4 linked regions of the Canis lupus familiaris genome follow. The main gene of each other region encodes a partner of the protein of the gene in region 4 in a complex. Links are inferred from orthologs where the notes say so. Each region holds a gene or a part of one and is shown on either strand. Other genes may lie near its edges.

Region 1 (6,317 bases), on a different chromosome or scaffold from region 4:
GTACAGACTGGATTTCAAACTATAGCCTGTATAATTATTCAACCCTTTTAACATACTAGCTATCCAGGCAGTTGATGTCTTCATCACTGACTCTGGCATCACAGGGTAGATTGTTGTGTAAACTCTCACAGTTGTTCCCCCCATCCCTATTTCATAATGCAGATGCCTGATTTAAGCTTGGATTGCTGAGGCATCCACTTCAAAGATGACTATCTTGAATAAACACAGCCATTTGTGTGTGTATATATATATATATATACACACACACACACTATATAAAGACTTTATATAGTGTATATACACTTTATATAAAGACTATATAAAGTGCCAGGCTGCCTCCCCAACCTGAGACTGCTTTGTTTTAGAGTTCTTGGTTGATTTCAATAACTGGCCATTTTTGGGTGCTTGGGCTTTTTGTTTTCCTTTTTCTCTCTTCCTATACTTTAAATTCCTGCTGTTTTTTAATTTAAAATTTTATTTTTAATTTTATTTGAGAGAGAGCATGAGCGGGAGAAGGCAGTCAGGAGGGAAGCGGACAAGAGAGGGAGAAGCGGACTCCCCGCTGTGCAGGGAGTCAGACTCAGGGCTAGATCCCAGAATCCCAATATCATGACCTGAACTGAAGGCAGATATTTAACCGACTGAACACCCAGGTGCCCCTCCTGCTCTTATTTTTTAAATTTACCCACGAAGAGGCACCTGGATGGCTCAGTCAAGTGTTTGCCTTTGCTCAGGTCATGATCCCAGGATCCTGGGACAGTCCCACATCAGGCTCCCTACTCAGCAGAGAGCCTGCTTCTCCTTTTCCCTCTGCTACTACCCCTGCTTGTGCTCTCTTTCTCTGTCAAATAATTAAAATCTAAAATAAATAAATAAGCTCACCCATGAAACTCTTGATGGCCACCCTCAACCCCAGTAAAACCCCCAGCCTGTGCTAGCTTGGTCCCTCACTACCTGTAACCTTGCTGTGTACTCACTGCTGTGTCTTGTGATCTCCAGGGCTTGTAAAGAATAAACTTTTTTTTTTCTTTCAAAGTTTCCTGAAGGTCACTGTTATGGTTTGGACAGAGGAGGTGTCTGTGGGAAGCTCACTGGAGCCCAAGTGAGTGTGCCCCCAAGCATTTCTAACCATGGCATTACCATCGCTAGGCTGAGATAGCACAAAACACACAAATACCAATTAAATTACGATCTCTGGTGGTAGAAGCCAAATATCAATATTACTCAGATGTTATTTAAATTAATTAAAGATAATAGATTGAGCTAGCACAAAACAGGGTGCAACCTGGGCACTGTGATTTTTAAAAGGTCTCCAGGCAATTCTAATATGTAGCAGAGACTGGAAACAATAGACCTCAAGTATATAAGATACTTATGGAAACACCAGTAATTGGTGATTTAAATATGAGACACATAGGTTATACAGTTGAGTAAGCACTCAACTGTACTCTTAAAAAAAAATCACATAAGATTAGTGGAAAGAATACAACAAATTTAAAAATCTGAATAATCAAGGTATTAATTCCTTATAAATTCCACTCACTGAAAACTGGCAGAATGTGTAACTTTAAACATTTGTAAGTTACAACCATAACATGTCAGAAATCACCTCACCATGAAGTGGCTTTTGTGTTGCACTGGAACAGATGGTGATGCCAGAATAAAAATAGTAAACACATTTTCACACACATACACTAAACTTACCAGGGAAGTACCACACGAGATGCAAATGGCAGAAATGGAGTATGAATAGGAAGCAGTGATTTAAGTCCAGCAAACATTTTATTGAGTAAACAAACCCAATATGCAAACTTCAACAGAAAATGAATCTGATGAAGTCTTCAGTTTATGTATTTTGCTGGAGAAAGCAAGAGCTTTTTAAAGATGGAAAAAAATGAAACACACTCGCTGCCAAACCCCCCCCCCTTTTCCGAATAAGGATTACACTGCTCTGAAGTCTTATACGTAGCACTTCAAATGATGCAAACTGCACAAGCCTTCAATAATTGCAATTATTCATCTTCAAATATCTCGACTTATCACCATCTGTACCAAATAAGTTTGGTGCCCGTCAGGCGAGAACACATCTAACGAAAATAAGCACAAGCGAAGAGGGAAGTTTAAGAGCTAGCTAAAATACCACTTTCCCACAAGAAAATTCCTCTCAGGGAACCATACCGGGCCTTTACGTCTCCGTAAGCATGCGTTTGTTTCATCGAATTTTGGCCCAACGTCATCATCAGCCACTGCTACAGCACGAAACCAACAGCCAAGACAACATGAAAAGTCTGCCGAGCGGTTCGAAATTCTCTTACCAATGGGGCAGTCACCTGGAAAAACTGCCAGGCACGGACGCCGGAGATGCCGGGCTCGCTGTCCACTCAAGGAAGACGAAGGCGTCTTGACTATCTGCCCCGTCTCCGGGAGAGGACCAGTCGGCTTCCAGAAACTTATTCCCCGTGATGACGGAGAAACGGACCACGGGTCCCAGACGACCCTGGCTGGGGAAGCCGCCCGCACCGCCCCGCCGGACTAGCCAGGGCTTGCGCGCTCAACAGCCAGCCCTCGGAACTGAGATTAGACAGCGCGCGCGCCGCAAAAGAGCCGTTGGCGCGCCTGCGCACTGCAGCCCTTCCGCTCTCCGCTCCGCCCACCCAGGAGCAACCGTCACACGGGAGCCGCCACTTCCGCGGGCGCGTGCGCAGTGGCGAGTCGGGCGCGTGCGCAGCCCCCGCTCCTTCCAGGCTGGAGCTTCTGCAGCTCACGCTCCTCCTCCCGCTCCCCACCCCCCAGCCCGCCGCGGCCCGGTACCAGCTTGTGGTCCTCCGAAGGGAGCGGTCGGTGCCTCGTGCTCCTGGGACGGCCGTGGTGCGCGCTCGCGGCGCGTGGCACTAGCCATGGCGATGGATCAAGTGAACGCGCTGTGCGAGCAGCTGGTGAAAGCGGTGACGGTCATGATGGACCCCAGCTCCACCCAGCGCTACCGGCTGGAAGCCCTCAAGGTAGAAGGGGTCCGGCGTCCTGGGCCTGCCCCAAGATCCTCCCCTAGCCCCCGCGCCCCCCCCCCCCCCCCGCCCCGCCGCCTGAAGCCCTGCTGGTCTCCCGCCCACGCGGCCCTTGAACCTCCCACTGCAACCCCCGGGGGCCCTTAGCCTTTCCCCTCCTCGCCCTCCGCGCTTCTTCTCACTCGGGCTTTCTCTGCCAGTCGCGCCTGCCCTTTTCTCGGGACCCTCTGGTTCCCTGCTGCTCCTCCTCTCACTACCACTTGCTACTGCCCTCTCTTCTCCTCTCCCCACTTCTCTTTAGTCCTACCCACACCACAGCCCGATGCTTCTATTTTACTACCCCAAGCCCCACGTCCCCTAGCCTTCCCGTGGCGCACGTGCCCGTCACGTACGTCCCCAACACCAGCTACATTCTTTACGGTCTCCCCTGCATTAAACGTTTCCTTGCATCCTCCTGACCCATCCTAGCCGAGCTCCAGCCCCGCTAGTGCCACTTTATTTACATTCTTACCCCTCTCACTAATTCTCTTCTGTGTCTTGGGTTATTTCTGGGCTCATTCTCACACACCCTCCCCCCCACGTTCTTTTACTTGTTCTATTCTCAGGCTATTTTGCGCAAAGATGAACTTCTACCACTTACTTTGCATTTTAACAAGGGCACTTTGGTTTCCTGAAAGTAGTTTTCTTGAGTCCGCATGCTCAGCTCTTGGGACTGACTCTTCTATTGCAGTTTGGGAATGCTAATACAAATTGGGATGGTAATAAATTGCGCACTCATTCCCACATCAAACTACGTGTGTGGATTGTGAGAAATGACCATTAGGAAAAACACTTGTGCACGTTATTTTTTAAAGTTTTTAGTAATTTTAAATGATGTCACATCATTTAAATGTACAGTGAACATCATTTGGAAGGAACTTTACTTTTAACACCATACAGTGTTTGCCACAAGATTTGGAATGAGAAACAGTTGTGTTCTATTTGTTTTTTTGTTATGAAATATTAAAGACATACACAAAAGTAAAGAGAATAATACTACAATGATCTTGTATATACCCCACACCTAAATTAAAGAGTTATAAAAATTTTGCCACATTTGCTTCCCACCCCCACTCCTCCCTTTTGTTTTTTTAAATCAAATCCTAGAAGTTGTCATTTCACCCCTATATACTTCTGGAGTACATCTCTAACAAATAATTTTTAACTCCTATAGGTCAGACTATTTTCAATGTTATTGGCCAGGGCATGGCAAATTTGTAACTATCAAAGTGAAAGGAATGTTTATCAGTTCTTTTTTTTTTTTTTTTTTAAGATTTTATTTATTTATTCTTGAGAGACAGAGAGGGAGAGGCGGAGACACAGGCAGAGGGAGAAACAGGCTGCAGGCAGGGAGCCCGACATGGGACTCAATCCCTGGACTCCAGGATCATGCCCTGGGCCAAAGGCAGGCGCCAACCCTCTGAGCCACCCAGGCTGCCCAGTTCTTTACTCATATACTATTGATCTAGATTTTGCATTTTAAATATATAGCTCAGGTGGAGAAGATGAAGTTTTTTAAAATTTTTTTAATCCCCACTGTCTCTTGCATCCTAAGGGAAATACTAACTTTTGTTGTTGCAGTTCTGTGAAGAATTTAAAGAAAAGTGCCCTATCTGTGTCCCCTGTGGCTTGAGGTTGGCTGAGAAAACACAAATTGCCATCGTCAGACATTTTGGCCTTCAAATCCTGGAACACGTTGTCAAGTAAGGAGCTTTTGGACAGTACCATTGAAGTCTGTGAGAGAGCAAGTCTTTATTTCTTATATAACTCCTAGAGATAATCTTTAGGTGAGCAGAGAAGATCAATCACTGAGAAGAAAGGAATGATTTCCCAAGAGATTATCATAACCTCAAGAGTACTCTTATTCAAGACTTAACCTTTCTCTTCTTCAGTTTCTTCATCCATGTAGAATACATACTAAGTACATACTAAGCATTCTACAAATATGAGCTGATAGTGGTTCAATCAGTATTGAGCTCCCACTGTATACCAGCAGATCTCAGAGTCTTTTTAAAATAATAGAGTGTATAGGTAATTATTTATTTATTTTTGTATAGGTAATTAAATCTCTGATTAGGCATTGCGCTTTTAAATTTTTTTTTAAAGTTTGAGCATGTTCCTTCTCTGAATGGCAAATCCAAAGCAGAATTATATGAGAAAAACTGAAAACCCTTCCTTTTTTTTTTTTTTTTTTAATTTTTATTTATTTATTCATGATAGTCACAGAGAGAGAGAGAGAGAGGCAGAGACACAGGCAGAGGGAGAAGCAGGCTCCATGCACCGGGGGCCCGATGTGGGATTCGATCCCGGGTCTCCAGGATCGCGCCCTGGGCCAAAGGCAGGTGCCAAACCACTGCGCCACCCAGGGATCCCTGAAAACCCTTCCTAACTTGAGTCTTCTACCCCTAGCATCTCCCAAAAGAGTCAGCTTTAAGACTTAGCCACAGTCTTTGTGGGATTGTGCTGTTCATAAATAAGCCAGCACATTAAAAAAAAAAAGAGAGAGAGAGAGAGAGAAGTTAGTGGTATCAATAATGTGTTGTTTTTTTTAAGATTTTTTTATTTGACAGAGCAAGCGCACAAGCAGAGGGAGCAGCAGGCAGGGGGAGAGGGAGAAGCAGGCTCCCCACAGAGCAGGGAGTCTGATGCAGAACTCGATTGCAGGATGCTGGAATCATGACCCGAGCTGAAGGCAGATGCTTTACTGACTAAGCCACCCTAGCACCCCAACATTGTAGTTTCTGAAAAGCAACTATATTTGTTGTAGTTGTCCCAGGTAGATATTTGCTTTTGGTCTATCAGTAAAATCAGCTAATCTGTGTACAAATCCTGTAAATTTCAGTTAGTGGACCACTTCTTATACAGAACTTTTTCTCAAGAATTTTTCTGTTGTCAGCATTTTAGTTGAACATGGACTGTTCTTGTCCTTTCTTTAAAGGTACAAAATCAGAAGTATAATATTTTAGTTCACTAACATAATATAACAGAATCAAAGCTAGTCTCTTTTGAAGACTTCTAATGTGGTTCTCTGACCTTACGCATTTTGGTGGCCAGGTTTCGGTGGAACAGCATGTCTCGATTGGAGAAAGTCTATCTGAAGAACAGTGTCATGGAGCTGATTGCAAATGTAAGGAATGGTTGGTTGGAAGACTTGTGTTTTAAAGGTAGTTTAGACTAAGTGTGACTTTGACTTCTTCAGCATTTATGTAAAAATTCACTAGTTCTGCATAGGTCAAACAGCATGCTCAACAGGGCAGAAAATATTAAACATTT
Region 2 (5,604 bases), on a different chromosome or scaffold from region 4:
GTCTTAATTCATTGGTTAGACTTAATAAATTCACCAACAGTGAATCATGGGGAAAGATTAAGTTAAAAAAAAAGTGCGATCTATCCTGTGTACACCACCACACTGTGGAGAAGGAAAAAGGCAGCCCTTTTAAAAATGAGTGGTATAAAAATTCACAGTAACATACATTATTTTTGTTTCTCATAAGCAATCAAAGAAGGGGGCAGTGCTGAGCATCTATTATACAATACAAAACAGTGTAAATAACACAGCAGGAACACACAGATACATAATGCTAAAAAACAGTGCTTTCTGGATGGTTCTTTTACTGGGTGAATACTTGGACCAGAGATATTTAAACTCTGGGGTTCAACCAACCTTTTGCAATTAGACACAATTAAATCCTCTGACATTGTGAGGGGCCAGATGCTACAGGAAGAATCATCATCTAGGTCAGTGCTACTCTCTACAAGCATTTTGTCATATGGTCAAGTGAAAAGATCCATACAAAAATGACATCCAAACACAAGCCACATGATTTCAACCATTGCTAATGACAGAGGTAGAGAAAAGTCTGTCTGCAGCCACAACCTCTGCCCCCATTTTTAACATGATAATGAGCAGATTCCTACAATGCAGCACAGCTATATTTCCCCCCCCTTTTTCACTCATGGAAACAAATGCATTCCAGCCAGGCCTGGAGATTTGAGACATTGTCAGATGTTGCTGAAGTTATCAAAGTGGGCTTTAGCTTTCAGATTTTGCTGCTTCTCCCTGGGCTTCCCCACTTTGTTCTGTGGAACTTCGTTGTGCATCTTCTTCACCTTCTGTAAGAGACAATGAGAAAAAGATAAAGGCAAAGTAAAAACTATTGTCTATATTTACTGACTCTTAAGATATCATATTGGGAATTTAAGAGATACTCAAAAAGTCTGAAGTTCTCATAGAGACAAGTGTATTTTATTGATAATCAATTCTTCAATTAGTGTTTCAAAGGCTGGCTAATTCTGGTTCTGTGAACTAGGGACAGCATAGCTCAAAAACAAAATAATAATTTATACAGTGCTTAGTGATCACCTATGCTTTTGATAAATAGCTAGGAAATCTCAAGGCCAGGTTTTGACACTTAGAGTTTCACAGGTTGCAGAAATTGAAAGTGATTTTAGGCAGAAATCAGAATGGGAAGCAAGTTTACTATTTCACTCCTGTCTTATTTTAAGAAATATTTAAAATTGCATTTTACATTATTTATATTACTTGTCGAGAACCCACCTGCTTTCTCAGATGTTTCGTTACTTTACCCTGGGTGGCTCTGCGGTTTAGCGCTGCCTTCAGCCCAGGGTATGGTCCTGGAGACCCGGGATCTAGTCCTATATCAGGCTCCCTGCGTGGAGCCTGCTTCTCTCTCTGCCTGTGTCTCTGCTTCTCTCTCTCTGTGTGTTTCTCATGAATAAATAAATAAAATCTTAAAAAAAATTAAAAGCAACAGTACAAGATGAAGGGACATTATGTTAGCTCATGGGTCTCTGGCCAGTAGTTATGGCCTCCAGTCTGCCCTTGAAGAACATAAACTATATCAATATTTGCTGAGTGTTTGTTACCATAATTCAAATAGATAGAGGTGAGTAGGCTGTTCCATTCTTTAAATGGATGTGTTAAGAGGCAATTTCTCCTTTATTCTTAATGAGTATACACAAAACATTTCACCAGATACTATACTTTAAGGAAATTAAAGGCAGTTCTACATAAATATACATATTCTGTTCCTAAAGGGGTTTTCAGAGTATAACCAGGCATTATATATCATGTTCACAAACTACTTTCATTATTACAGCAATGAATAGCCTCCCAAAATGTGTAGATGGCCTGAATCTGAAATGTGTAGATTAGCATACAACAAAAACTTGATAAATATGAAAAGCTCTTGGTAACCAAAAGAATGAAGTCAAATTAGGGCAGATACAAGACAGAAGAATATTTAAGGATGAAACTGACTGCATAAATACAAGATGAGGAATTTGACTTCCATGGAGCTTGGAACTTTCTAGGTGTCTGAGAACTCTTCTCACAGCTTAGCATAATGCTGCAGTCACAGATTCGTGGCTAAATAGGTGCTTGTTAGAAAGTTGAAATAAACATGGGACAGCAATATTGTTGAGTATAAACTAAAAAGAAGTTGAAACACTCAAGAATTATAGAAGTCCCTCATAATATTCAGCCATTGATATTGCATTTGTCATTATATATTTGTCATAATTGCAGTTACTATATTTAGTTCTTTGTACTTAGAATAATAAAAAAGTTACTACTGTTTATATTTTGCCTGTTGCTGGACTTTAGGATTTGAAGAGAAACAAAAATTTTTAGGAGCCTGGAGAATAGTAATTAAAATATAGAAATGTTTAGAAAAGAAGACATTTGATAGCATAAAGATATTTTAATTAATTTAACTTGTTTAATAATACTGCTAATATAAAATATAATTATTTTATTATATTTATTAATATGAAATGAATTTATTTCACTTGTTATATAATTTAATATATTCTCTTGTATAAGCTAGGTCTTAATGCTGATGAGTCTTAATTTCAGCGAAGACTGAAGAGGAAGAAATAGAACTGCTCTATCAATAATATTAGAGGTGTCTAAAATTAATGCAGATTATTTAAAATAGAATATTATTTACAAATAAAAATATAAATCTCATAAAAGAAATTAGCAAACTCTCAAAGACCACAGAAAAAATTTTACTTACTTCATGCAACCAAATTGCAATAATTCCCTAAGTCCTTTCTGACAGCTGCTTTCCTAAGTAACTTCTAGTAGTAAATAACAGAGAAACAACCAAACCTAAAGTATGCATAAGCCTGTATATTTCCAAGGTGGTGGTAGTAAAGTTTTATTTTCAATTTGAATTTGAAAAGACCAATCTGTGACCTGCTGACCCTTAGCCATTGAATAAAGTACTATCCCTAGGTATTTTAGGGTAATGTTGTTTAGCTGTTTCATTAACATAAAACTCTGACTCCGTTTTCCAATAACCAGAAAGCTTTACCATCATAAAAATTCTAATAGCAAAGAAGTACTGAGTGGTTACCATGAGTCAGAAACTCCTAAGTGCTTTTCATGTACACAACTTTGTGGTTCCTCTGTGGTAAACTCCTTTTTTTCACTTTTAAAGGTTATTTTTACACAAGATTTGTTAGGGAAAGACATCCAGTTTTAAATCTTGCAAAAGCTATGAATGAAAGAACTATTGGGATTTATTGAAATACTCAGAAATACTTTGATATTACAAACTTGTTTTACTTTTTCATTGGTAAAGTCTGATTACTTAGGTAGGAAGAGTGCAAGGCCCAATAATAAGACAAATTTTCCACACACTAGTTCTATCATGAAAAGAAAACTGTAAGACCTTTTTACCAAAGACACTGATGTAATTTTACTTCCATTTTTCAATAGAATTGGTCCCAGAGACGCTGTGCCTTTGAAATGGTTATTGAAATATTACAGATGGCCGATATTGAAGGGCTCCAATTTTGTTAAATATTCTATATAGAAATTTCAGAGCTTTTATAGAGATTAGGATTTTTTTAAAAAACCTATGTGTTTTATTGATTGCATTACCAAAATAAGATTAAGGATTCTGCATTTGAGTGGGAAACCCTATAAAGAAGAGTCATTGAAAATGGAGTATGAGTGATTAAGAGATTAGTCCCTGACTTATCTTCCTTAGACTGTTTATAACTCTACTAAATTACTTTCAAAGGTGATTTTTCATGTTTTAATCCTACTTAGTGAAATGCTACAAATCATCCCATGTTCAGAGAGAGATGTGTGTCAAGCAACTCACCTGTCTTGTTGATATCAAGACCTGCTAATTTCAAGGCTAATTCATTGCTGTTGCCACTTGCAGAGGAAACCAGGATATCATGTATTGCATTTCTTCTACCTGTTCTTCCTGAAGCAATGAAATCTGCATATGTAGTTTCCACATCAGTCATTGCTAACAAATATCCACATAGCAGGGACTACAAAACAAAGAAAAACTAATATAAGGTTGGTGAATGGTAACATTTAACAAAGACACTTATTAAATTATTGGCCTACAATCTGAACGTGAAATAATGGTCTTGCTTAGGTGTCCACAGAGCAAGTAATGCTTTAATCCTTGATCAAACATCAGGGAATTTTTTTCTGTAAAGGCCTGATGGTAAATAAATTAGGCTTTGAGGGCTAAATGGTCTCTATTCCAGCTACTCAGTTTTGTGGTTGTAGTGCAAAAGTAGTTAAAGTAATTACATTAAATGTCAAACAAACTGTATTTGCAAAAATAATAATAGGATCAGATTTGGCCTGAATACCATAATTTGTGGACACCTGGTTTAGATCATAAAATTCTCCTTCTCTAATACTATTTCAGTCAGTCTTCAAAGGCAGAAAGAAGAACCTGAGATCAGTAGCATACCAAGGTTGGGAGCAGAATGGAAGTGGTCCATCCTAGAGATAAGCAGAATGCAAGTACATTGTCTGCAGAGTCTAATAATGAAATTAACCAAAATTCAGTTTGCTTTTTATCATCACCATGTGCAAGCAATTCTAAGCAATGTCAGTGACCAAATAACTGCTCCAAGTCCAGGAGGATGGCTCCCTTTGGCCCCCTAGTTAAGTCATTGCTTGAGAGGAATAACAATCTTTCTTGACTGAATCTTTGAAATAAAATGTTCAAGTTTAAAAAGGAGTCAATGAGGGGTGCCTGGGTGGCTTAATCGGTTAAATCACACTCTTGATTTCAGCTCAGGTCATGATTTCAGGGTTGTGAGATCAACCCCAGTGTGAAGCCTGTTTAAGATTCTTTTTCTCCCTCTCCCTCTGCCCCTCCCACCCTAAAAAAAAAAAAAAAAAAGCCAATGAAAGTGACTTTTCCAAACTTGTAATATATATGCTTAAAGACTCAATGAAATAAAATATTTTCAAGGTACTTTTTTAAAACGATTTTATTTATTTATTTATTCATGAGGCACACAGAGAGAAAGAGAGAGAGAGAGTCAGAGACATAGGCCTGGGGAGAAGTAGGTTCCCTGCAGGGAGCCCGATGTGGGACTCAATCCCAGGACCCCAGGATCACAACCTGAGCCAAAGGCAGACACTCAACCACTGAACCACCCAGGTGTCCCTCAGGGTAAAATATGATATATGCATTAACAAAAAACTACCAAAACCAAATCTTTAGTTTTTTTCTGTTTAAATTTATGTTCTTCCCTAAAAATCAAAAGAAAGATGGATAGAAGAAATAATAAATTTCTGTTGTATTGTCTAAACATAATTTTAAAGTGAAATCATTTCCCTCCTATTCCAATTACATTTTTTATAGTTTAAGATTAAGAACATATCAATAATCAAGAGAAAGGAATCTTTTCAAAAGATAAGAAATATGGGCAGCCTGGGTGGCTCAGCGGTTTAGCGCTGCCTTCATCCCAGGGTGTGATCCTGGGATCGAGTCCCACATCGGGCTTCCTGCATGGAGCCTGCTTCTCCCTCTGCCTGTGTCTCTGCCTCTCTCTCTCTTTGTCTCTCATGAATAAATAAATAAAATCTTTTCAAAAAAAGATAAGAAATACGGGG
Region 3 (6,092 bases), about 38 Mb from region 4:
GAAGCTGTCCCAGTGAGGGCCTCTGCATATGCCTCCCTCCCTAGTCGCCCAGCAGCACTTTCTCAGGAACCCCTGATGAACTCCCAGGCAGGTCAGATCCTGCTTGGCAGGTTTCACAGCCCTGATCTCCTCCCAAATGCTGCCTGCTACAATTTTACACTCTTCTCTCTTCTAAATGATTACTTGATCATTATGTGGAGACTTTGTTCATGCTCCTTCTTCATTGGGTCATGAGCTCTGGGACTTTGCCTCAGCTCACTACCATGCCCCCCAGAGGGGAGTGCTTAACATTCTCCTCCACACCTAGTAAAGTAGTTACTCATGTCTATTCCACAATTGAGTAGTTGAGATACCGAGAGGTTATGTAAAAGCCTACTGAGCTCACACAGCCAGAAAGTGATGACCAGCATTCATTCTCCTTTTTTCATTTCACAACAGGAAGGTTGGCCAGGTATGAGCCTCCCATTTTCTAGAAGAGGAAGCTGAGGTTTCAAAGAATGAAGGAACTCTGCCCAGGAATTCAGGACAAGGACAGAGCTATGCTTCAGACTGGTCTTCTAAAACTCTACCCCTGTGCTCCTCCCCAAATCCTTGCTTCCGTGCATAATCATGGACTTTATACAGCACTCCCCCAACCCCTGCAAGGAGCCAAGTCCCTCCCCTCCTCCCCTGGGTCCCAGGTGCCCAGATGTCCTTTGTAGCTGGCACAAAGTGCACGGTGCAAGGGCTGAAATAATCTCTCAGCCCTTTGGAAGACCTGCTCCAAAACAGAGCCCCTCTAACATCCAGGGATTGGCCAGGTTAGCAAGGAGGCAGGACACCTGCTCACGGGAATGTTTATGCAGTCCTTAAGAGCCAGGCAACAGAGATGCCAGGGACCCCAAGGGAAGACTTATGCCGTATCAGTGAGAGAAGTATGGAGATACACAGGTTCTGTGCACAAGTTCAATCCTGGGGAGAGTCACAGGTACATGGCGAGTTTGGAAGAATAAGCACCAAAACGGACAAGCAGAGACAGGAAAGGGTGGGGACCACTGCTGAGTGGATTCTCTCACTTGGTTTTCAATCCAAATGGGGTTCCATGTAACTCAAATGTGGTTTAGGGATGTGTCCCAACACTCCTGAATAACCAGCTGTCAAGAGGCTGAGCGGCAGGGCTTGCCTTTCAGCCTCCACCGCCTCACAAAGTAACATCCGTGTTTACTATGCAGCCATGGAAAGCAGAAAGGCCTTTCCTTGGTCCTTAAATGACTTACTGGGGAGAGAAGAGCCTTGTTCCAAGCATCATGGCTTCCTCATACAGGCCTTGCCCTCTCCTGACTATGCCAGCTCACTGCCAGCCAAGGTGGAGGCCCTTTCTGGGCCCAGGGTCCAGCTGCCAGACTCCTCCACACTACATTCAAGGCTGTCTGCACTGGGCTCCCTATGGCACCCTGATTCCTTCTCGCCCAAGCCCACCCTATGTGTCTCAGCTCCTCCCCTCACATGATACTCCCTGCGTCTACTGCCCTCTCCCCTACAATGACAGTTCAACCACCTTATCCATGGGGACTTCCGGGGCCCTCCTAAACCAGAAATGATCCCTTTCCCTTGCCGTATTTCCCACAGCTTTCTGTTCACGTTGCTCAGAGTATGCTTCACCTTCTACCCCCTGGCAGTTGAGTACCTCCTTCCTACTCCATCTTAGGAGGTCCTCAGAGGCCGGGGCTATAAGCTGGGCATCCCTGGTGACCAAGAAAATGGAGGCAACATGTCCAGCCTGAGCTGGTTAATTAGTGATCTGCACAGATTTTAAAGCTAGACAAGCTTGAGCTCTAATCCTAGCTCCATTACCTGTATCTGTGCCCTTAGGCAAGTCCTATTATTTCCCAGGGCTTCACTTTTCCAATCTACAAAATGGGGATGAGACCTACCTCAAGGACTTTTGTGAGGATAAACTTCCTTAAGTCAGGCACTTAAAGAATGCCTGACTCAGCATTCAGGGAATGGAATTTAATAGCAAATTCAGGGGATCCCTGGGTGGCTGAGCGGTTTAGCACCTGCCTTTGGCCCAGGGCATGATCCTGGAATCCCAGGATCGAGTCCCATCAAGCATCGAGCTCCTTGCATGGAGCCTGCTTCTCCCTCTACCTGTGTCTCTGCCTCTCCCTCTCCCTCTCTGTCTCTCGTGAATAAATAAAATCTTAAAAAAAGGGGGATCCCTGGGTGGCTCAGCGGTTTAACGCCTGCCTTTGGCCCGGGGCGCGATCCTGGGGCCCTGGGATCAAGTCCCACATCGGCTCCCGGCATAGAGCCTGCTTCTCCCTCCTCCTGTGTCTCTGCCTCTCTCCCTCTCTCTCTCTCTCTCTCTCTCATGAATACATAATATTTTTTTTTTTTTTTAAATCTTAAAAAAAAAAAAGCAAATTCATCTTTACTGAACTGAGCTGTCTACTGACAAACACAAGAATAGGGACTTAGCTGGACCTCTGTTAAAATCCCAGCTCTGCTACTTACCAGCTAGATGACCTTGGACAAGTTAGGTCTTCCAAATCTCTTCTCCTTATTTATAAAATGGTAACATTTCTACATCCCCCCCTCAGGGATGACGTGTGATCGGAAGTGATAACAGCACAGGGAGGGACTCTGTAAATGTTAAGGCCCTTCAGAGACATCAGGAATGTGCACTGCCATGCTCCTGACAACCTGAGAACTCCAGTTTCTGAGGCAGGGCAGGTGAGCAAGCTTGCCTGCAATCCATGACAACCGGGCAAGTCCATACCAGTTTCCCTGGTTGGGCCAGAACCTCAAGAGTCCTTGCAAGTGCTGGCGTAGGTGCCTTCACTTCCAAACGTCAGGGGATTCAGGGTTGACCAGTGTTAGCCATGCTTTGGCCAGGGATGAACAGACAAGGCCTGCATTCTGCTTCCTAATTCCCTACAGTCCTGGTTCCTAGGACAAGAACATCCCTCCCTCTTCCAGGGGCATTCAGTTGCACGGACCAGACCTCCCAAGAGGGCCTTACCTCTGGGAAAGCCAACCAGTATTCCCAAAACCAGTCTGGGATCATAGTGGTAAAGGTGGGAAGTAAGAAGTCAGGGACTATACCCTGACACTGCTGTTGTGATCCTTTGTTGTTTACTATCTCCTCCCACTAAGACATAAAGTGGCCCTTTCCACCAGCCAACCTAAGCTGTCACCAGCAAGGATGGCCTCCAAAAACATGATGACTAGCAGGGAAGCCTATATATGTCCTTGTGGGCACATCTTTGAGCCTCACTCTAAAAGGGACCCAAAACTATCTCACAGAGCTACTAGGTAACAAACAACGTGATAATGTAGCTAAACAAGCTGGAACAAGAGTCATTGGCACACACTCTTTCCTCCCCTGGGCCAGCCCAAGCAGGAACTCACCATCTTCCGCAGTGTTGAGTTTGAGGCTCTTGCCCTTGAAACTCAGCTGACCCCCAGCCACCTGGGTTTTGGCAAGTGTCTCTGCTAGCTTGGCAATGTCTTCAGAGGCCATGCTGGCCACGTTGCTGGGCTCCCCCGGAAATCTGCAAACTGAGCAGGATGAAGTTTCATTAAGAGACAGGAGTCTCCTGGGGCCCCCTGGTTGGGGAGGGCCGGGTAGGACATCAGCCCTTTCAGGGGCTTAACACCCCCTCCTCCATGGAGACTCCAACAGCTAAACTACTGGGAGAAATGAAAACACTATTAGGTAAGGAACAATTCTAGAAAGGTGGAGAAAGTGGCAAGAGTAGTAAAATCATGTTTTAGCCCCTGAAGGATTACTAGCTTATTTTAACTCCTCGCCTGCCCCAATGGCCCCAGCTGGAACACCAAGCACAGCCATCTGAGCTGCCCATCTTCTGGGCTCCCAGTGAATGGTAGTTGGGCCCAGACCAACAGCTGCAATGCAAAGAGCCTACTCCAGGCACACACCTGCCTGATCATCCTGGCTGCTCTCTGTTTGAGGGTCCCATTCCTCAAACAGGACTAGGATGGCTAAGGGATCCAGGTTATCCATCCCGCGAAATGCCCCACCTCCCACGCTGGCATGTCTCTGGGGATGGGGCACAGGTGTCAGCCCACTGCCCGTCTGGTTTCAACCTTAGCCAGAAGACTGGGCAATCCATGGTGGCCAAACCTCAGGGGTTCCTAGGAGACCAGAGGTCTCTACATCACAACAGCCACCATCACAATAGACCAAGGGCAGAGCTGCTGAAGAAAGGAGCTTCTGGCCTGGAAGAACTCGGCAGATTGGCAGAAAGACCACTCCATTTCCCTAAAGAGGAAATGGCAGGTCATCAGGGGAGACCAAGGATGATGGATATGGAAGACAGAACGAGGAAGGGCCCACAAAAACTCCTTACCCAGAACATGTCCTTCCCCAATCTATTCGTCCTCAAGATACAACTGTGATGGCTCCCCAATCCTCCAACTCCCCCCAGGCTTCCTCTGGGCTCCTATAGCCAGCCTCCCACCTCCTTCTCCTTATCTTAACCCTGATCACCCTGGCTTGCCAATTTTTACAAATATGTATGAATTATTCTCCTAGATAAGAAGGCACCACTCATTCATTCAATAAACATTTATTGGGTATTACTATGTTCTGGACGTTGCTCTAGATACCAGAACCAAGCAGTGAATGAAGCAAAAATACTGCCCTCTCTCTTTTTTATAAGATTTTATTTTTATTTATTTTTTAAGATTTTATTTTTTTAAGTAATCTCTATGCCCAACATGGGTCACAAACCCACAACTCTGAGATCGAGTCACATGTTCTACCAAATGAGCTAGCTGGGCACCTCTTAAAACATGTGTTCTAAATAAGACATGTGGAATCTTATTTGTGTAAGTGATAAGAAAAACAAACGGAGAAGGGGGTAAGGAGTTTTAAGGGGGTTGCGATTTATTTATTTATAAAGATTTTATTTATTCATGAGAGACATAGAAAGAGAGGCAGAGACGTAGGCAGAGGGAGAAGCAGGCTCCCTGTGGGAAGCCTGATGTGGGACTCGATCCCAGGACGTTGGGATCCTGGCATCACGCCCTGAGCCAAAGGCAGACGCTCAACCACTGAGCCACTCAGGTGCCCCGAGGGGGTTGCGATTTAAAACAGATTGGTCCAAAAATAAATAAATAAATAAAAATAAAAATAAAAATAAAACAGATTGGTTAGAGGGGCACCTGATGGCTCAGTTGGTTAAGTGTTCAACTATTGATCTCAGCTCTGGACTTGATATCAGGGTCATAAGTTCAAGCCCCATGCTGGGCTCCAGGATGGGCATAGTACCTAGGTTAAAAACAAACAAACAGGGCAGCCAGGGTGGCTCAGGGGGTTTAGCACTGCCTTCAGCCCAGGGCATGATCCTGGGGTCCCAGGATCAAGTCCCACATTGGGCTCCCTGCATGGAGCCTGTTTATCCCTTTGCCTTGTCTCTGCCTCTCTCTCTCTCTCTCATGAATAAATAAAATCTTTAAAAAACAAACAAACAAAAAGACCCACAATAACAACAAACCAGAATGGTTAGGAAGATATTAGGAAAGAAAGACTTGGAGGTCATCAAGGATTGAGCCAGGCAGATATCTGGGGGAAGAGCATTCCTGCAAACAGAATAGCTAAAGCAAAGGCTTTCATGGGGGGAAGGAGAGATCCGAGGAACTCCAAGGAGACCAGTGGGGCTGGAGTGCAGAAGAGGAAAGGAGAAAAAAAGCAAGAAATGAGAAAAGAGAATCAGCAAGAGGCCCAAGTTGCAAAGGCCATTTAAAGAATGCAGCTTTTACTGAGTGAAAAGGAGAGCCACTGGTGGGTTTCTAGCAGAGAAGACCAGACTCTGACAGATGTTTTGACAGCAACTTAGGGCCTGACATCTAGAAGGTCCCCCAAGAATGAAGAGATGAAGCTGGGGGGGGGGGGGGACCCTAGCCTGAAACCCGGCCACCACTTGCAATTCTGGGAATGGGACAATTTTCGGCAAAAAAAAAAAAAAAAAAAAAAAAAAATGGTGGTGGGGCTCCCAGACACGTTCCTACTGGAACACACAACTCCTCTGCTGGAAAGGGGCCTATTCCTCAGTCCACTACACGCACGCACCATCCACTTTAAA
Region 4 (5,604 bases):
TCTTACTTAATACATTTCCCCATTTCTTGTGTGTGTGTATATATATACACATATACATTACTGAATATAGTTTTTATGTAAATTTACTATTTTGCAGTTAAGATTGTTTTAAGATTTGAGGGAGTACATGTGAATTGGGGGGAGGACCAAAGGGAGAGAATCTTCAACAGACTCCTTGCTGAGTGTGGAGACTAGACTTGGTGTGTTACCTCACCATTCTGAATTCAAGATCAAGATCAAGCGGAGACCAAGAGCAGAAGCTCAATCAACTGAGCCATCCAAATGGCCAAAGATCTTTTTAATAGTAAATACATTTTTTTAAAGATTGTATTTATTTATTCATGACAGAGAGAGAAAAAGAGAGAGAAAGGGGGGCAGAGGGAGAAGCAGTCTCCACACAGGGAGCCTGACGTGGGACTCGATCCTGGGTCTCCAGATCATACCCCAGGCCGAAGGTGGCGCTAAACCACTGGGCCTCCAGGGCTGCCCAATAGTTAATATTTTTAAAAGTACTTCTCTGGTCTAAATGTTCAAATATTTAAACTAGTTAATCCCATAGCTATCATTTATGCTTTCAAGTCTTACAAGGATACATAATGCAGAATTTCCCATACTGAAATGTAAACCACATACCTTATTTATCATATTCAATGTGCATTCAAAAACAGCATCAAATATTTGAGGTATTTCAGCTGTTATATGTCCTCCTAACTTGTTGACAATAATAGCCATAGTACTAAGCACTTCTGGTTCTCTAGCAGCTGGTACATTTCTCTGATAATCAATGAGAACTGCATCCAATAAAGGAGGAACAAAATTTTCAGCTACCTGTTAAAAAAAAAAAAAAACTTTACCCAAGTTTTTTATTTATTTTTTTTTTAAATTTTTATTTATTTATGATAGTCACACAGAGAGAAAGAGAGGCAGAGACACAGGCAGAGGGAGAAGCAGGCTCCATGCACCAGGAGCCCGATGTGGGACTCGATCCCGGGTCTCCAGGATCGCGCCCTGGGCCAAAGGCAGGCGCCAAACCGCTGCGCCACCCAGAGATCCCCCAAGTTTTATCCTATGCACTTGCTTACCATCATAAACAGCTAGGTCAATGTTATATTGAAATTTAGGTTGAATATCTGCTTAAAACTGGAAAATCCCACGTTTTATTTTTTTATTTTTATTTTTTTTTAATGATAGGCACACAGTGAGAGAGAGAGAGAGGCAGAGACACAGGCAGAGGGAGAAGCAGGCTCCATGCACCGGGAGCCCGATGTGGGATTCGATCCCGGGTCTCCAGGATCGCGCCCTGGGCCAAAGGCAGGCGCCAAACCGCTGCGCCACCCAGGGATCCCCCACGTTTTATTTTTAAAAAAAAAATTTAAAGGTTGTTTATTTGACAGAATGAGAGCAACAGGCCGCCCACTGAGCAGGGAGCCCAATGTGGGGACTCAATCACAAACCTTGGGATTCTGACCTGAGCCAAACGCAGTTGCTGGACCAACTACCTGAGCCACCAAGTACCCCTAGAAAATCCCGTTTTTTAATTTGGTTTTGGACATTAAGACTTTTTACCAAAAGAAACCAAGGAATTATAATAGGCTGGGAAGAGCCACAGATATATTGATATTTCAAATCTAATTGCTAAGGTTAAACTAAGGCCCAAAATGAAGTTACTGGCTACACGTTACTATGGCAGGGCCAGGATTTTAGGGATATGTTATATGGGATAACTTACCTAAAAGAAAAGAAAAGCCCTCCTAATCAATACTGCATTAATTTTGTCAATGAATATCTATAAAAACCAAGCAGCGCATATCTAATACAAAGTAGACATCCATTCAATGATTTTTATTAAACTTAGTGAATGCTAACTGGTAAATACTTTAATAAACAAAACCCAAAGCCACCACTTACTCTTGTAAAAGGAATTAGAACTGTACCAGGAAGACATGAGTCTCAGTAAACAGGGTCATATTAAGGTGTAGCTTTATGTGTCTTTAATAGGTTCTTTATTACCATATGGACAATAAACAGTGTTTCTTGTAACAAGGTCACTAGTGTTAGTAGTGTCCTACTTACTATATATAATACAAGTCTAGTAAAATTTTAAGGATAAGCACAATTATTTTTCCAATAACCCACTTGATATCTTAGACCAGAACTGTTCTCATTTTACTTTTAACACTTCAGTAATTCTTTCCTAACAAGATGGATCTTAAGTGTGTTTATTTTTTTTAAAAAAAGATTTTTTTTTTTTATTCATGAGAGACGCAGAGACACAGGCAGAGGGAGAAGCAGGCTCCATATGCAGGGAGCCTGGTGTGGGACTCAATCCCGGGTCTCCAGGATCAGGCCCTGGGCTGAAGGCAGGCGCCAAACGGCTGAGCCACCCAGGCATCCCTGTTTTTGAGTATTTTTTTAATTCACCGCCCCATTCAATACAAATCTTGGTTGTAAATTGATACCCTCTCATTATTATCACTGATACTCCTAAAATTTGCCCAAGCTACTCTAAATTGTGAATTTCACATTCCTTTAATTCATCTTATCTTTGTCCAGTTTTTTTTTTTAAGACTTTATTTATTTATTCATAGAGACAGAGAGAGAGGCAGAGAGAGAAACAGGCACCATGCAAAGAGCCTGATACGGAACTTGATCCAGGGTCTCCAGGATCACGCCCTGGGCTGCAGGCGGCGCTAAACCGCTGCGCCACTGGGGCTGCCCTCCAGTTTTATTTCTTAAAAAAGATTTTATTGATTTATTCATGAGACACACAGAGAGGCAGAGACATATAGGGAGAGAGAAACAGGCTCCACACAGGGAGCCTGATGTGGGACTTGATCTCAGGATTCCAGGATCATGCCCTGGGCCAAAGGCAGGCACTCAACTGCTGAGCCACCCAGGCGTCCCCTCTTGTCCAATTTTAAATACATTTCTGATCTCATAATACACTAGTTTAAAATCTTTCAACATTTATTATCTTGAGAATTCCACAACTGTCTTCTGAACAAGTTCCCTGAAAAATATCTCATTTGTTGGAACAAACGCAACAGCACACTTGTCAACCAAAGATTAACGTGATAGATTCTTTGTAATGTTCAAGGATCAAGACAATCAGTGGTAGAATAAATCAAAAATACACGCTTTAAAAAATAATAACCCACATTTTCCCATGTTAAGGCATATATGGAGTATGGTTGAGTTTCTGAAACCATTTTCTTTTCTGGAAATGATTAAAAACTTAAAAAAAATTAAGAGTAAAAGAGATTTCTAAGCATTCCACTGGGAAAGCCCTTACTCTCACTTCAGAGTCAAATTAATGACAGCTTTGTAAACTGCTCTGAAGAATCATGAAGAAACAAAAAAATTTCTCCCAAATGTCTACCTATCCACAGGGGGTGAAAAATGACCCAAGCTATCTTATTAAATATCACCTTGTTAGTGTCCTCCACAAACAGCAATTTCTTAGGAATATGGTACATAATATTTTCAAGCATTCAAGGACTCAAAAAATAGGTCATTGTAAAATAAGCCCAAATATTTCCCTCGAAATTACCTTTAAATGAGCTATGTGCATAGACCAGAGAATACAGCATCAACTTAAAAAGCAAAACATTTCACTTACCATCTGTGGATCATTGGACCGGCTCACCCAACCGGATATTAACTTTAAAGTTTCCCTTTTTACCGTTCGCATACTTCTAATCAATGGTTGCTTTGTAACCATCTCGCCTAAAAAATACAATCCAGTGAAATCTAACTTGACAACTACAACTCTACATTGGCAGTTACATGTACTTCAGATATAATAGCTCCCATTTACCACCCAAAGGCATAAAGGCAACGGGCACACAGATGAATGTACTGGGAAAATAAACGAAGACTAATTTTAGAAGGAAAAGGTATATGCAACTAGTTAAAAATAATTGTCATTTGGAACATTGGGAGAGTTAACTTAAATCTTTGAGAAATGAACATTGAATGTAAAAAAAAATTTTTTTTAAGATTTTGTTTATTCATGAGAGAGAGAGAGAGAGAGAGAGGCAGAGACATAGGGAGAGGGAGAAGCAGGCTCCGTACAGGGAGCCTGACGTGGGACTAGATCCCGGGACTCCAAGATCAGGCCCTGGGCTGAAGGCGGCGTTAAACCCAAGCCACCAGGCTGCCCAAGACTGAATGTAAAATTGATTTGCTATTCACCAATTCCACAAAAATTCAGAATCACTTACCATTAGCTTGGATAGCTGCTGAAATATTTTCACTGAGGCACTTGTATACATTAAGCATATCTAAATAAATTCTCCCAAGTTGAATTACAAAGGGGTGTCCGACAGCTTTGCAGGCTCTAACATTTGTTTTCAATATGCTACCAAGCTGCTTGACAGTTTCTGGATCTTTAAGTATATCCACATTCTGTGAAGGACAAGTAATAAATTTCATTTATCACATGAAAATTTAAAGCAAAAAATACTACCCACACCTATTCCAAAATCACTACCACATTTACAATGCAAAATAGGGAAACACAGAAATCTTTATTACCTGTAGCTACAACTATGAATAGATTAACATTCCCAATATACCATCAAATCAGAAAAAAATGACAGTATAGTTTTTGTTACTTTTGAAAATAACACGATCTTCTTGAATTCCATTTGAACTTTGATAAAAAGGAGTAGAACTTACTTTGGTTGCCTGCTGGATTATGCTATCCCAAACCTGATTAGGGAGTAGCATGTATTTTTCTATCAAATGTTCTTGTACTGTTTGGTCTGTTTGTGCACCAATCATGTACCCCACAGCTTCATAAAATGTATGGACCTATGTAAAATGGCAGACATTTTATGTTTATGCATCATAAGGATAACCACAAACAACCAACTTACATATGTATTAGACCTTCTTTTTTGAGTCTGAGAAACAACTTACATTAGGTAAGAAAATAGCCTAATAAACTTCTGGCTAAATTTTTGTCCTACAATGAAAACTTAATGACTCCAGCAGAGATGTGGGTTGGGGAGATAGGTGATATAGGTGATAGGGAGTAAGTAGTGCACTGGGTAATACATGGAATTGCTGAATCACTATATTGTACACACATAACTAATATAATACTGTATGTTAACTATACTGGAATTTAAAAAAATTTAACCATAGATGTATGTTGAATGAATCCAATGGTGTTACTCTATTGCCATTTATGAATTCTGAGTAAAATACTAGTCATGAGGTGCCTGGGTGGCACAGTCAGTTAAGCATTCAACACTTGGGTTTTGGCTTGGGTCATGGTCTCATGGTCCTGAGATTGAGCCCTCCCACCCACCATGTACTCTTACTCTAATAAACAGACCTTTAAATAAGAAAAAAAAAAATAGTAGTCATTTTCTTTTCTTTGGGTGGAGACTGGGTCAAGGGGGGAAGAGAATCTTAAGCAGGTTCCCCACCCCTGTGAAGCCTGATCTCATAACCCTTGAGACCATGACCTGGGCCAAAATGAAGTGTTGGATGCTCAACCAACTGAGCCACCCACATGGGCACCGTAGTATTCATTGTCTATGAATATGCATACTACTACGATGCTCAGTGCTCTACGTACCTGCTGAGGTTGAA

The links.
Region 1: XPO1 (region 4) and XPO5 share a complex: the UniProt entries of both Homo sapiens proteins name them as parts of the nuclear export receptor complex. The link is inferred for Canis lupus familiaris from reciprocal best matches to the Homo sapiens genes XPO1 and XPO5.
Region 2: the proteins of XPO1 (region 4) and PKIA are in contact, whole or in part, in an NMR structure (PDB 2L1L), measured with the Homo sapiens proteins. The link is inferred for Canis lupus familiaris from reciprocal best matches to the Homo sapiens genes XPO1 and PKIA. Residues at the interface, in NP_003391.1 of Homo sapiens: Val518, Lys522, Leu525, Cys528, Glu529, Lys534, Lys537, Ala538, Ala541, Ile544, Phe554, His558, Lys560, Phe561, Thr564, Lys568, Phe572, Glu575, Thr576, Val580; in NP_006814.1 of Homo sapiens: Asn36, Leu38, Ala39, Lys41, Leu42, Ala43, Gly44, Leu45, Asp46, Ile47, Asn48, Glu51.
Region 3: the proteins of XPO1 (region 4) and RANGAP1 are in contact, whole or in part, in a cryo-EM structure (PDB 9B62), measured with the Homo sapiens proteins. The link is inferred for Canis lupus familiaris from reciprocal best matches to the Homo sapiens genes XPO1 and RANGAP1. Residues at the interface, in NP_003391.1 of Homo sapiens: Lys245, Ser248, Thr249, Tyr252, Lys253, Glu281, Gln282, Val284, Thr285, Leu289, Met292, Gln293, Gln296, Arg340, Asn342, Leu343, Lys514, Val518, Ile521, Lys522, Leu525, Glu529, Arg532, Lys534, Lys537, Ala538, Ala541, Met545, Phe554, His558; in NP_001265580.1 of Homo sapiens: Ala2, Asp5, Ile6, Leu9, Ala10, Thr12, Leu13, Ala14, Thr16, Gln17, Val18, Ala19, Gln22, Leu23, Ser24, Phe25, Lys28, Glu44, Arg55, Ala561, Thr564, Lys565, Pro566, Ser568, Glu571, Ser572, Ser574, Phe575, Arg577, His578.

Annotation. Positions count from the first base shown.
Region 1 is NC_049233.1:12,220,429-12,226,745, reverse strand, and holds the start of XPO5 (exportin-5), read left to right. Parts: upstream 1-2,709; 5' UTR 2,710-2,897; coding exon 2,898-3,002; intron 3,003-4,625; coding exon 4,626-4,747; intron 4,748-6,098; coding exon 6,099-6,171; intron 6,172-6,317. UniProt on the Homo sapiens protein: Mediates the nuclear export of proteins bearing a double-stranded RNA binding domain (dsRBD) and double-stranded RNAs (cargos). XPO5 in the nucleus binds cooperatively to the RNA and to the GTPase Ran in its active GTP-bound form.
Region 2 is NC_049250.1:26,827,049-26,832,652, reverse strand, and holds part of PKIA (cAMP-dependent protein kinase inhibitor alpha), read right to left. Parts: intron 4,011-5,604; coding exon 3,833-4,010; intron 807-3,832; coding exon 727-806; 3' UTR 1-726. UniProt on the Homo sapiens protein: Extremely potent competitive inhibitor of cAMP-dependent protein kinase activity, this protein interacts with the catalytic subunit of the enzyme after the cAMP-induced dissociation of its regulatory chains.
Region 3 is NC_049231.1:24,910,986-24,917,077, reverse strand, and holds the start of RANGAP1 (ran GTPase-activating protein 1), read right to left. Parts: upstream 4,120-6,092; 5' UTR 4,010-4,119; coding exon 3,925-4,009; intron 3,544-3,924; coding exon 3,394-3,543; intron 1-3,393. UniProt on the Homo sapiens protein: GTPase activator for RAN. Converts cytoplasmic GTP-bound RAN to GDP-bound RAN, which is essential for RAN-mediated nuclear import and export. Mediates dissociation of cargo from nuclear export complexes containing XPO1, RAN and RANBP2 after nuclear export.
Region 4 is NC_049231.1:62,837,975-62,843,578, forward strand, and holds part of XPO1 (exportin-1), read right to left. Parts: coding exon 5,591-5,604; intron 4,816-5,590; coding exon 4,681-4,815; intron 4,408-4,680; coding exon 4,224-4,407; intron 3,727-4,223; coding exon 3,620-3,726; intron 829-3,619; coding exon 634-828; intron 1-633. UniProt on the Homo sapiens protein: Mediates the nuclear export of cellular proteins (cargos) bearing a leucine-rich nuclear export signal (NES) and of RNAs.